Linked DNA regions of Sus scrofa. The protein of the gene in region 1 interacts with the protein of each later gene in a pairwise test. Links are inferred from orthologs where the notes say so. Each region holds a gene or a part of one and is shown in the gene's direction. Other genes may lie near its edges.

Evidence for each region. The genes of interacting proteins can lie anywhere in the genome.
Region 2: the proteins of GABARAPL2 (region 1) and TBC1D9B interact in binary tests that used the Homo sapiens proteins (3 or more experiments, as listed by UniProt). The link is inferred for Sus scrofa from reciprocal best matches to the Homo sapiens genes GABARAPL2 and TBC1D9B.
Region 3: the proteins of GABARAPL2 (region 1) and GIMAP6 interact in a two-hybrid assay, tested with the Homo sapiens proteins (2 studies listed by BioGRID). The two-hybrid records come from large-scale screens. The link is inferred for Sus scrofa from reciprocal best matches to the Homo sapiens genes GABARAPL2 and GIMAP6.

Annotation. Positions count from the first base shown.
Region 1 is NC_010448.4:12,130,182-12,134,207, reverse strand, and holds the start of GABARAPL2 (gamma-aminobutyric acid receptor-associated protein-like 2), read left to right. Parts: upstream 1-1,221; 5' UTR 1,222-1,349; coding exon 1,350-1,383; intron 1,384-1,721; coding exon 1,722-1,777; intron 1,778-3,153; coding exon 3,154-3,326; intron 3,327-4,026. UniProt on the Homo sapiens protein: Ubiquitin-like modifier involved in intra-Golgi traffic. Modulates intra-Golgi transport through coupling between NSF activity and SNAREs activation. It first stimulates the ATPase activity of NSF which in turn stimulates the association with GOSR1.
Region 2 is NC_010444.4:78,723,863-78,726,892, forward strand, and holds the end of TBC1D9B (TBC1 domain family member 9B), read left to right. Parts: intron 1-383; coding exon 384-1,070; 3' UTR 1,071-2,529; downstream 2,530-3,030. UniProt on the Homo sapiens protein: May act as a GTPase-activating protein for Rab family protein(s).
Region 3 is NC_010460.4:6,417,755-6,421,266, forward strand, and holds the end of GIMAP6 (GTPase IMAP family member 6), read left to right. Parts: intron 1-1,488; coding exon 1,489-2,105; 3' UTR 2,106-3,011; downstream 3,012-3,512.

The DNA of each region.
Region 1 (4,026 bases):
TCTTAAAATAACAAAAATACTTTTAGAATGAAGCTAGATTCCACAACATCCATAAGGAATTTCAACTGAGGAAATTGTGAATGACGATGTTCACACATGCAGGCCTTTTGGATGCATCAGACTCACAAGCATGTGGTGAGGATCATGTGCCCAATTAAGTGAATATCTTGTCAGATATGCACCAGCTCATAAACAGATGATGACCCAGGGCAGACCGTCCCATGACTCTTGGAAGAAGAAAGGAATGACGTTCCTGGAGAACCTGAAGGCGGACGCTCAGGCAGGAGACACTCACACAACCCAGGCTGTAACTGTTGAACCCCAAAGCTGAGTGCTGAAGAAACCCGCTTCATGCCTAGCTGTCAGAGGAATTTTCTGAGTCTGTCACCTCTGACTACTCCACCAGTTAAGATTAAGGGGTTTCTTTGTGATCAGCGTGATGTTATGCCCCTCAAATGCATATTTATGATACCTTTTCTTAAATGTTTATTCAGACACTATTCGTGAATAAAGCAAGGAAATGGGATTTGTTTAAACTCCATTTCCAGGTCCAATGCAACCTGTTATGGCTGTCCCCAATAATGAACCCCCCGGGGTTGTCATCAGTATCCCTCCCCATACAGTTTCCTCAAACTAGTCATACACTCCAGATTGAGCCCCCAACCTGGGAATTTCCTGGTGGCCTAGGGGTTAGGGATCCGGCGCTGTCGCTGCGGTGGCTCAGGTGGGATCCCTGGCCTTGGCTGGGAACTTCCGCATGCCGTGGGCGTGGCCAAAAAAATAAACAAAAAACCTCTCAATTTAGCCCAACCCGTTACCACTCTACACAATACCCCTCAGACTGTCAATGCCCTAAACAGACCCCCTGCCATCAGCAGCCACCAAAGACCCCTCTTCAGTCATTGATATTCTAAAATTCCCCTCTTGTCACCAACGCCCCGGTCGGACTTCTCTAACACTCCCAAGAGCCCTGTCGTATCAGCCAGACCTCCACACATCCCTTCCTGTTACCAACGTCCACCGAAACCCCGCTCTTGTTACCAATTCCTGAATATCCCCTTCCCAGTCATCAACTTCCCTTACAGACACCCCAATCGTCAACGTCACCACGGCAACTCCTCCCGCGGCCTCTCGCGGTACCCACTCCTTCCTTGCCCCACGCCTCCTGGCCCGATGCCCTGAGAAGCGGCGCCGGAAGCCCCGCCCCCGGCCGGTTGCTAGGCTCCAGCGGCCGGAAGTCCCGCCTGCCGTGTAGTCACCGCCGCCGCCGCCGCCGTCGTTGTTGTTGTGGTTGGTGCGCTGAGCTCCGCGGCTCCGAGAGCCGGCTGCGTCCTTTCCCCGCTGTCGCCATGAAGTGGATGTTCAAGGAGGACCACTCGCTGGGTAAGCGCTCGGCGTTTGGCCTGCCCGTGGGGGCTGGGGCGGCGGGTGGGCCCCCTCCCCCACTCGGGCCGCCCTAGGCTGGGCCGGGTGGGGCGGATGCCGCCCTCTGAGCTCTGGTCGCCGAGGCCCCAGCACCCCGGGCGGCTAACTATGGATTCCTCGCCGCCCTCCGCGGGCCCCGCCAGAGCCAGGGGAACGAGGACCGAGGTCGCTGGGACACCCGAACGAGGGCCGGGGGCGTGCACAGGTCACGGGGGTGGGGTGGGGTGGAGGAGGGGCGAGGGACCCGGAGGCCGGTGGGCCGGCGCGACCGTCAGCCGGGTGTGTTTTTCTCATAGAACACAGATGCGTGGAATCTGCGAAGATCCGAGCGAAATATCCCGACCGGGTTCCGGTGAGTGAACTCCCCGCCCCCTCACCTCGCTGTCACCCCTGCCGTCTTGGACCCATGATAGGGTCCCTGGCCATTCAGCAGTTGATAAGTTTAGATTCCAGTCCGGTTAGAGTAGTTGACGGGGCCTGACGGCTTAGGGACCCTCGGGCGGCGGCTTGAGGGGCTTGAGTTGGTGCTGTTCAGGATGCCTCAGTGCTGAATCTCCGGAACTAGGCCAGCGAGCTGTCTGCAGCCTCAGGGCTCCCTCGCCAATTATGTAAGAAACGATGTTCTAGGACAGGGCAACAGGTCACAGCCACTTTGGGGAATAGTGGTGGAGGGAGTCTTTCACTTTGGTTTTGGAAGGGATACTTTAGCCTTAGGACATTCATCTTTAACTTTGAGCCTCCGGCTTTACCTGACTTCTCCTTCCCTTTTCTCACCCTGACCCTGTCATCCTTTCCTGACCAAAAAAAATCTGAGGAGCCCCGTCCAGTGCCTTCCTTGTAATCAATAAAACGTATCCTATATTTCTTCCGTGTTAGGGCACATAGTTTCTTTAGTCCTTTTTGTTTTTTGTCTTTTTAGTGCTGCGCCCATGGCATATGGAGGTTCCCAGGCTAGGGGTCCAATCAGAGCTGTTGCTGCTGGCCTACACCACAGTCACAGCAACTCCAGATCTGAGCCGTGACTGTGACCTACACCACAACTCATGGCAACGCTGGATCCTTGACCTGCTGAGCAAGGCCAGGGATCGAACCTGAAACCTCGTTGTTCCTAGTCGGGTTGTTTCCACTGTGCCACGATGGAAACTCCCTGATTGGTTTTTAAAGGACATCCGGGTCTGTTATTGTAGCTCATGGCTTGTAAACAGTTCCTCTGGGGAGAGAGCAAGAGGGGTAAATTTGAAACGTAGTTCAGAGAGAAGCAACAGGCCAAATGAAGAGCTTGGTTCTTGGCTGGTTGGGATTGCCAGTCCATCCCATTAGTCCGTCCATTCTCATTTCCAGTGTTCCTTGGGATCTTATTCCCCTGTAGTGTGGGTTCACTTTGGGGTCCTGAAGTAACAGGCTGTAGAGGAAGCTCTCACCAGATAGTCTCCAGTCTGCCCAGACAAGATGTTGCAAAGCTTTTTTGTGAGGGCTGTGTTTATTTCATGCATGCTGAGATCAGGGATGAGAAAGAAAGTAATTGACCACAGAAAAGCACTTACCTTTCCCCGTAACACATATATATCAATTCTTAAGTGTGTGGTTTTTTTAAGTCGAACGTATTTTCTCATGTTTCACAGTTTCCCACCCACCTCCCTGACCACACATTGTTCATCAGCTCTCCAGTAATGCTGGGCCAGAGCCTCAGTCTAGAAATCCAGTCCCGACCTTTCTCTGCTTTTGCAGGTGATCGTGGAAAAAGTCTCAGGCTCTCAGATTGTTGACATTGACAAACGGAAATACCTGGTTCCATCTGACATCACTGTGGCTCAGTTCATGTGGATTATCAGGAAAAGGATCCAGCTTCCTTCTGAAAAGGCAATCTTCCTGTTTGTGGATAAGACAGTCCCACAGTCCAGGTGAGAGGTGTTTACTGTGTTGGCCATCTGCTTGGTTGCTTGCAGAACTCAAAACTTTGGAGGACTGAAAGCTCTTAGGGGTCTTGACTGGAAATAAGGATTTTGTGTTCCCTGACCTCAGGAGTTCAAGGAAGAGTTGCAGTAGATGGGTGTATACTTTGGGTTAAGACAATAGAGTAAGGCCTGGACTTCAAACAAACAAACAAACAAACAAAAGATGAGATTCAGCCTCAGGCGCCCAAGAATCCTTTAAAACAGTTAGGACTTATTTTGGCTTTAGCCATTTTTAGAACTGAAGCCTGAAATGAGGTTTTCTCCAAATGATCCATGAAATAAGTTCTTCCCCAGGAGCTTGTGGGCCCTGCTGAGGCTCAGTTTCAATCAACCACCCTGCCTGCTTGCTCGCTCTCCAGGCTCAGCTCTGGCCGTGGTGAGAGTGCACTGAGAGCAGCGGCCTGATCCTCAAGTACATGGGAATGGCTGCCGGCCAGCACAGGGCTCTGAGGTCTCTTTACAGCCTTTCACCTCCCTTGGTACCACTTACTCTGACTGTAAGAGGAACCCCCCCTTTGCTCTTGCTGTTGTGCTGCCTGGAAGCAATCTTTGGGATAACCTGGGGCCTGAATCTAGGCAGAGCCTTTACAATTCCCTTCTTGTAGGTAGTTGACAGCCCAGCTTTAGTCCACTGTGGCAAGAGGAA
Region 2 (3,030 bases), on another chromosome or scaffold:
AGCTTCCTAAATGGCAGAGTTGAAGATATAAAAAACTCACAGTGATTCTAACCCAGTCAAGACGTCCTTGTAGTCACTGGGCTTGGGAAGTTAGGATAGAAGTAGGTCTTTTTTCTGCTAACAGAATGGACCTAGACACAGAGAGACTCAAAATCTTTCTGTACTGAAAGGCAGCTGGAAAAGAAAGCCCTTTTCCTCTCTGCGCCGCAGTGTCCTGATCTGTGAAATGGGCCTGTGAAGACACAGGTGTGTGGGGACAGCTAGCGAGATGACACCCGCACCCCAGCCAGAATGGCCAGTGTTGTGAGTCTGGCTGTCTTGGGGCAGCCGGACCCCATCTTTTACTACCTCCCTGCCCTTTTTCTGTTTTTCCCCTAAAAAAGGAGCAGTTCATTGAGCTGTGCAAGACACTTTACAACATGTTCAGTGAAGACCCCATGGAGCAGGACTTGTACCACGCCATCGCCACGGTGGCCAGCCTGCTGCTCCGCATCGGGGAGGTGGGGAAGAGGTTTTCCGCACGGCCAGGCAGGAAGCCCAGGGACATCGCCCCTGAGGAGGACGAGCTGCCAGCCCCAGACCTCCCTCAGAACCCGGCCCGGGAGCTTCAGCCGCCTGCTGCAGGGGACCCCCAGGCCAAAGCGGGTGGAGACACCCACCCTGGGAAAGCCCCGCAGGAGAGCCAGGTGGTGGGCGAAGGGGGCGGCGGTGAGGGCCAGGGCTCCCCCTCCCAGCCTCTGTCGGACGATGAAACCAAAGATGACCTGTCCATGTCCTCCTACTCGGTGGTCAGCACGGGCTCCCTGCAGTGTGAGGACCTGGCTGACGACACAGTGCTGGTGGGCGGGGAGGCCCGCAGCCCCGTGACCACCCCCCACTGTGGGGGCACCGTGGACACAGACTGGAGCATCTCCTTCGAGCAGATCCTGGCCTCCATCCTGACGGAGTCTGTGCTGGTGAACTTCCTTGAGAAGAAGGTAGACATTGGACTCAAGATCAAGGACCAAAAGAAAGTGGAGAGACAGTTTAGCACCTCCAGTGACCATGAGCAGTCTGCAGCTTTGGGCTGAGGGCTCCAGGGCCTGGGGGCGGGCCTCTCCGCCTCCCTTTCCATTTGCTCCTTAAGGACACATCCCTCCAGCTCTCCCCAGAAGCCGTGAGTTGTAAATGGAAAAAAGGCTGAACAACCGCACTCGGGGCCCGGGCAGAGACTCCCCAGCCCCTCGTCCTGCCTTGGGCCTGCTGGACCCTGTGTAGTGTCAGGGGCTGTCTGATCTGCCCTCACTTGCCCTGCGCTGTGGCCAGGCCACACCCTGTCCTCCACCTCTTTTCCTGCAGCTGTGTGCTCTGGAGGCCCTCCTGCCACTTGGCACCAGGTGGGTGGGGAGGTGGGTGAACACATGTCCATTGGGCACCAAAGTGGTGGGCACTTGGAGATGCCCTCCCGGAGCCCCTGAGCCGGAGCTCCTGGCTGGGGGACACAGGCAGAAAGCATCTGCTGCACCAGGGTGGGTGCCTCCTGCGCAGGCGTTAGTCTAAATTCTCTTTCAGCTCATCATCCTCACCGTTAACCTTAAAAGCATATCCCTCAGGTCCTGATGTATTTCCTTGTATTCATTTGAGTCACTAAAAATCACACTGTGCTTAAGGCCTTAATAAATCCCTGAAAGATCTAAAAACCACATCGTGTAGAGAGAATTAATGTGGCCCTTGACCACTGCCTCCTGGCTTTTCCCCAGGCTGGTATGGGGTCCAGGCCATGTTCCAGAGTTTCCAGACACTTAGTCCCCACAGGGAGTTTAAGACCCCCAGGGAAGATGGGCAGGTGGAAGCTGCTGATGCAGGCTGGGCAGAGTCTGCACAGACCTCTGCCAGCAGAGGAGGCCCCGAGCTCTGCAGGTGTGAACAGCCTGAGTCCACCCGAAAAAGGTGTGTGCTCGGGTCCTTGGGTTCAGGAAGCAGACTGCAGGGACACAGGCACCACCTGAGCCCCCAGCTTTGCAGCAGGAGCTGATCATCTGTATCCAGTATTTTCCCCCAACACAGGGTTGTTCTTATTTCTCCTGAAAGATACAGCTCTGTGGCTATTTGCTTTTTTTAAATTTGATAGCTTTATTGAGACAAAACTTACATTGCATTACCATAAAATTTGCTTGTTTTAGGTTACAGTTCAATGATTTTTAGTAAACCTACAGAGTTGTGCAACCATCACCGCAGTTCAACTTTAGAATATTTCCATACCCCAGAAAGACCTCTCCTGCCCATTTGCTGCCAATCTGTGTACCCTCCCCCAGCTCCCGGCAACCACTAATCTATTTTCTCTTTAGTTTTTATGGATGGTTCTTAAAATAACAATCTCCATGGAGTTTTCTGTGGCACAGCAGGTTAAGGATGTGGCGTTGTCACTGCAGAAGCTCGGGTCACTGCTGTGGTGCGGGTTCAATCCCTAGCCTGGGAAGTTACACATGCTGCAGGTGCAGCCAAAAAAAATTAAAAAATAAAAATCTCCATGATTTTACCTGGTTCACAGCTGCTGAGTTATTTCTCAATAAATGAAGCAAAACAACATCAGGGAAACCGAACAACTGTTTTCTTAACAACAGAAAGTCAGTCATGTAATTTCCTCTCTAATGTTTACACAAACTGACTACATGCTTTGTAATAAATTAATTTCAGAGGATTTATTGCCAGAAAGACTGTTCTCGGCCATAATGAAATTAAGTAAAGATATTTAAGAATTCCACACATTTGGCAATTCAAAGTCAAATCGACTGTAATCAATTAAAAAGATTTAAATAACTTGGAATTTGGATGTTTTACATACCCTGTCAAAGTATAAATTTGAGAATACGCCAAAGAAATTAAATAGAATATGAAAAAGGACCCTGGCCTTTTTATGTGATAAAAAGAATGTACAGGAGTTCCCGTCGTGGCGCAGTGGTTAACGAATCCGACTAGGAACCATGAGGTTGCGGGTTCGGTCCCTGCCCTTGCTCAGTGGGTTAACGATCCGGCGTTGCCGTGAGCTGT
Region 3 (3,512 bases), on another chromosome or scaffold:
GGAGATTGGGAAGGAGTCTGTGCTGGCCCTGCCTCCAGGAGGCCAAGGGCTCTGTCACTGGGGCACATCAGAGTCTTCAGTGTGCCACAGACTCAGAAACCAGCCAGGATCTGACACATCTCTAGGCGCTCTGGGTCCTGGGACCTGCAAGGCAGCCAGGAGAAGGGAATTCCCTTCCTGCCCTCCAGCCCTGGTCCTGGCTAAAAATCTGGATCTCGGGTTGCTGAGGACGAGCGGCTTGGTCAGATCTTCTCTCAGCTGATGGTTCTGATCTTTTGCTGGGTGAGGCTGTCCATCCCAAACCTCAAGGGTGTAGCTTAAGAATGTGACCCCCCCCCGCGGAGTTCCAACTGTGGTGCAGTGGATTAAGAGTCTGATGGCAGCGGCTGGGGTTGCGGTGGAGGTGTGAGTTCGATCCCCAGCCCAGTGCTGTGGGTTAAGGATCCAGTGTTGCATCAGCTGTGGCAGAATTCGCCACTAGGACTCAGATTTGATCCCTGGCCCAGGAACTTCCATATGTCATGGGGTGTGGCCATAAAAAAAAAAAAGATGTGACCCCAGTGTGCTTTTGTGCTGTGGAGCTGGGTGTCTGGCTGAAAAGGCTCTCCCCTCATGACACTCCCTGTTGGGAAAACTGAAGGTCATGTGATGCAGTCGTTCACATTAGGGAGAGGCTGCGTCCCTTCACTCTCACCACTCTTCCTGGGAAGGGGTCCCCAGGGAAGCTCAGGGTTCATCTCATGATGGGCTGATTCCCATACTGGTAAGAACAGGTGATCCTGAGACGAAGTTTCAAAACCGAAACTTAAGTTGGTGTGTTCGACTGCACGACCCAGCAATCTCACTTCCGGGAATTGAGACAGACATTGAACATATGGGCACCAAGGGTCACAGGAGCGCTATTCACAACAGCAACCCAAATGTCCAGATCTGTGTGAAACAGCACAGTGTGGTCCATACCTACAATGCAATACCATTCAGCTTTAAAAAGAAAGGAAATTCTGACACCCGACCTGCTTCAAGATCCAACATGCAAATATTGAAAATATTATGCTAAGTGAAGGAAGCCAGCCGCAAAGGGAGAAATATGACCTGATGCCACTTATATGAGGTCCCAAGAATGGTCAAACCCAAAGACACAGACAGTAGAAGAGGGGTTGTGAGCTGTTCGGGGGAGGGAGGAATGGGGAGTTAGTGTTTCACGGGGGCAGGGTTTCAACTTGGGAAGATGAAAAATTCTTGAGATGCATCGTGGTGAGGGCACAACCATGTGGATTGCATGGTTAAAATTGTACATGTTATGTTAAGTAGGTTCTGCCATGATGAGAAAAACGATTCAGCAGGAAAAAAGAATGGGAACCCAGGGCAGGTCTCAGGTGCAGACGCGGTCTTCGTCTCTCTTGCCCCACCAGGGCCCTCTCTTCCTGGTGAGGCTGAAGCCGGTGGACGGGCTCTAACTCCGCCCCCCGCTTCTCTTGATGCTTCCAGGTCTGAGGGCGGATGAACGGACCCCGCGGAAGCTGAGGCTCCTGCTGGTGGGAAAACCCGGAAGTGGGAAAAGCGCAACAGGAAACAGCATCCTCGGCCGGAAGCTGTTCAAGTGCAAGCTCAGTTCCAGACCGGTGACCCAGGACTTCCAGCGGGGGTGTCGGGTGTGGGCTGGGAGGGAGCTCGAGGTCATAGACACCCCCGACATCCTGTCCCCTCGGGCGGCGCCGGGCGTGGCCGCCCAGGGCTTCAGCCGAGCCATTGCCTTCTCCTTCCCCGGGCCCCACGCCGTCCTCCTGGTGACACAGCTGGGCCGCTTCACGCAGGAGGATCAAGAGGTGGTCAGGCGCCTCCAGGAGGTGTTTGGGGTGGGCGTCCTGGCCCACACCATCCTGGTGTTCACACGGAAGGAAGACCTGGGGGGCGGCTCCCTGGAAGAGTACCTGCGAGAGACGGACAACCGGGAGCTGGCCCAGCTGGACGTGATCTGTGAGCGGCGCCACTGCGGCTTCAACAACAAGGTGGAGGGGGCGGAGCAGGAAGCCCAGCTGGAGGAGCTCATGCAGCAAATCGAAAGCATCCTGTGGGAAAACGAGGGCCATTATTACAGCAACTAGGCTTGCCATTACTCCCCGTGGAACGTGCTGCTCCAGCAAGCGGGCGAGGGGCAGCTCCACCAGGGGTGGGGCTGCGAGGCAGGGCTCAGCCAGGAGTCCTGGCTGTAGACACTCTGCAGATCCAGGAGACTTGAGGGAGCTCACACACAGCTCCTAAGAGGCACCCATTTGAGATGCGCTGGCTTTCAGTGCTTCCCACCAGCCTCCCTCCAACTGAGTCCCACTTCCAAGCCCTCACCTGCTCTCGCCAGCTCACGGGCCACTGCCCATGCCAGGCTCCGGAGTTCCCAGGCCCATCATCCCCTCTTCCAGAACACCCTCCCTCCTCTGTGCCTCGCCATCCTCAGGCTTTCCAGGCCTCTAGTAGAACACACGTAGAGCAAAAGCTTCCTGAGGGCAGGCCTGTGCCTCATTCTCCCATGTAACCCCCGCAGCATCCGGGCCATTGGGCTCACTGGTGAAAAGCCGAGGTAGCAAATCAGTGTGGGATGTCGACCAGGCAGCTCTGCATCTCCTGGGCTGTGTCCTCGCCCATAAAGGAAGCAGGCACGGTGACGTTTCAGGTACGTGCTGGGTGTGGTGGGTCTGAACGCAGCAGTGGTTCTGTGACATGTGGGGAAGGACAGTTTGAAACAAACTTATGGTTACCAGAGCGGACAGGTGGAGGGGGGAAGGATGGACTGGGAGTTTGGGCTTGTGTACACTGCGGTAGATGGACTCACTGGCCAATGGGAACCTGCTGTAAAGCACAGGGAACTCTACCCAAAATTCTGTGATCATCTATGTGGGGAAAGAATCTGAAAAAGAATGGATTTGTGTGCATGGATAACTGAATCACTTCATTGTACAGCAGAAATTATCACAACATTACAGATCAACTATACTTCAATAAAACGTTTTTATTTATTTATTTTGTTTTTTTCTTTCCTTCCTTCCTTTCCCTTTCCTTCCTTCCTTCCTTCCTTCCTTCCTTCCTTCCTTCCTTCCTTCCTTCCTTCCTTCTTTCTTTCTTTCTTTCTTTCTTTCTTTCTTTCTTTCTTTCTTTCTTTCTTTCTTTCTTTCTTTCTTTCTTTCGCTGCAAAAGAAACTGCTTTTCTTGAGGGCTATACCCACCGCATATGGAAGTTCCCAGCCTAGGAGTAGAATTGAAGCTGTAGCTGCCGGCCTACACCACAGCCACAGCAATTTGGGATCTGAGCTGCATCTGCAGCCTACACCACAGCTCATGGCAATGCCAGATCCTTAACCCCCTGAGTGAGGCCAGGGATCAAACTGCATCCTCATGGATACTAGTTGCATTCATTTTTGCTGCACCACAATGGGAACTCCCTACCTCAATAAAACTTTAAAAAATGAAAAAGAAAGAAAGCAAGTAGAAACAGGGGAGGGTGGAAGGAGCAGCCTTTT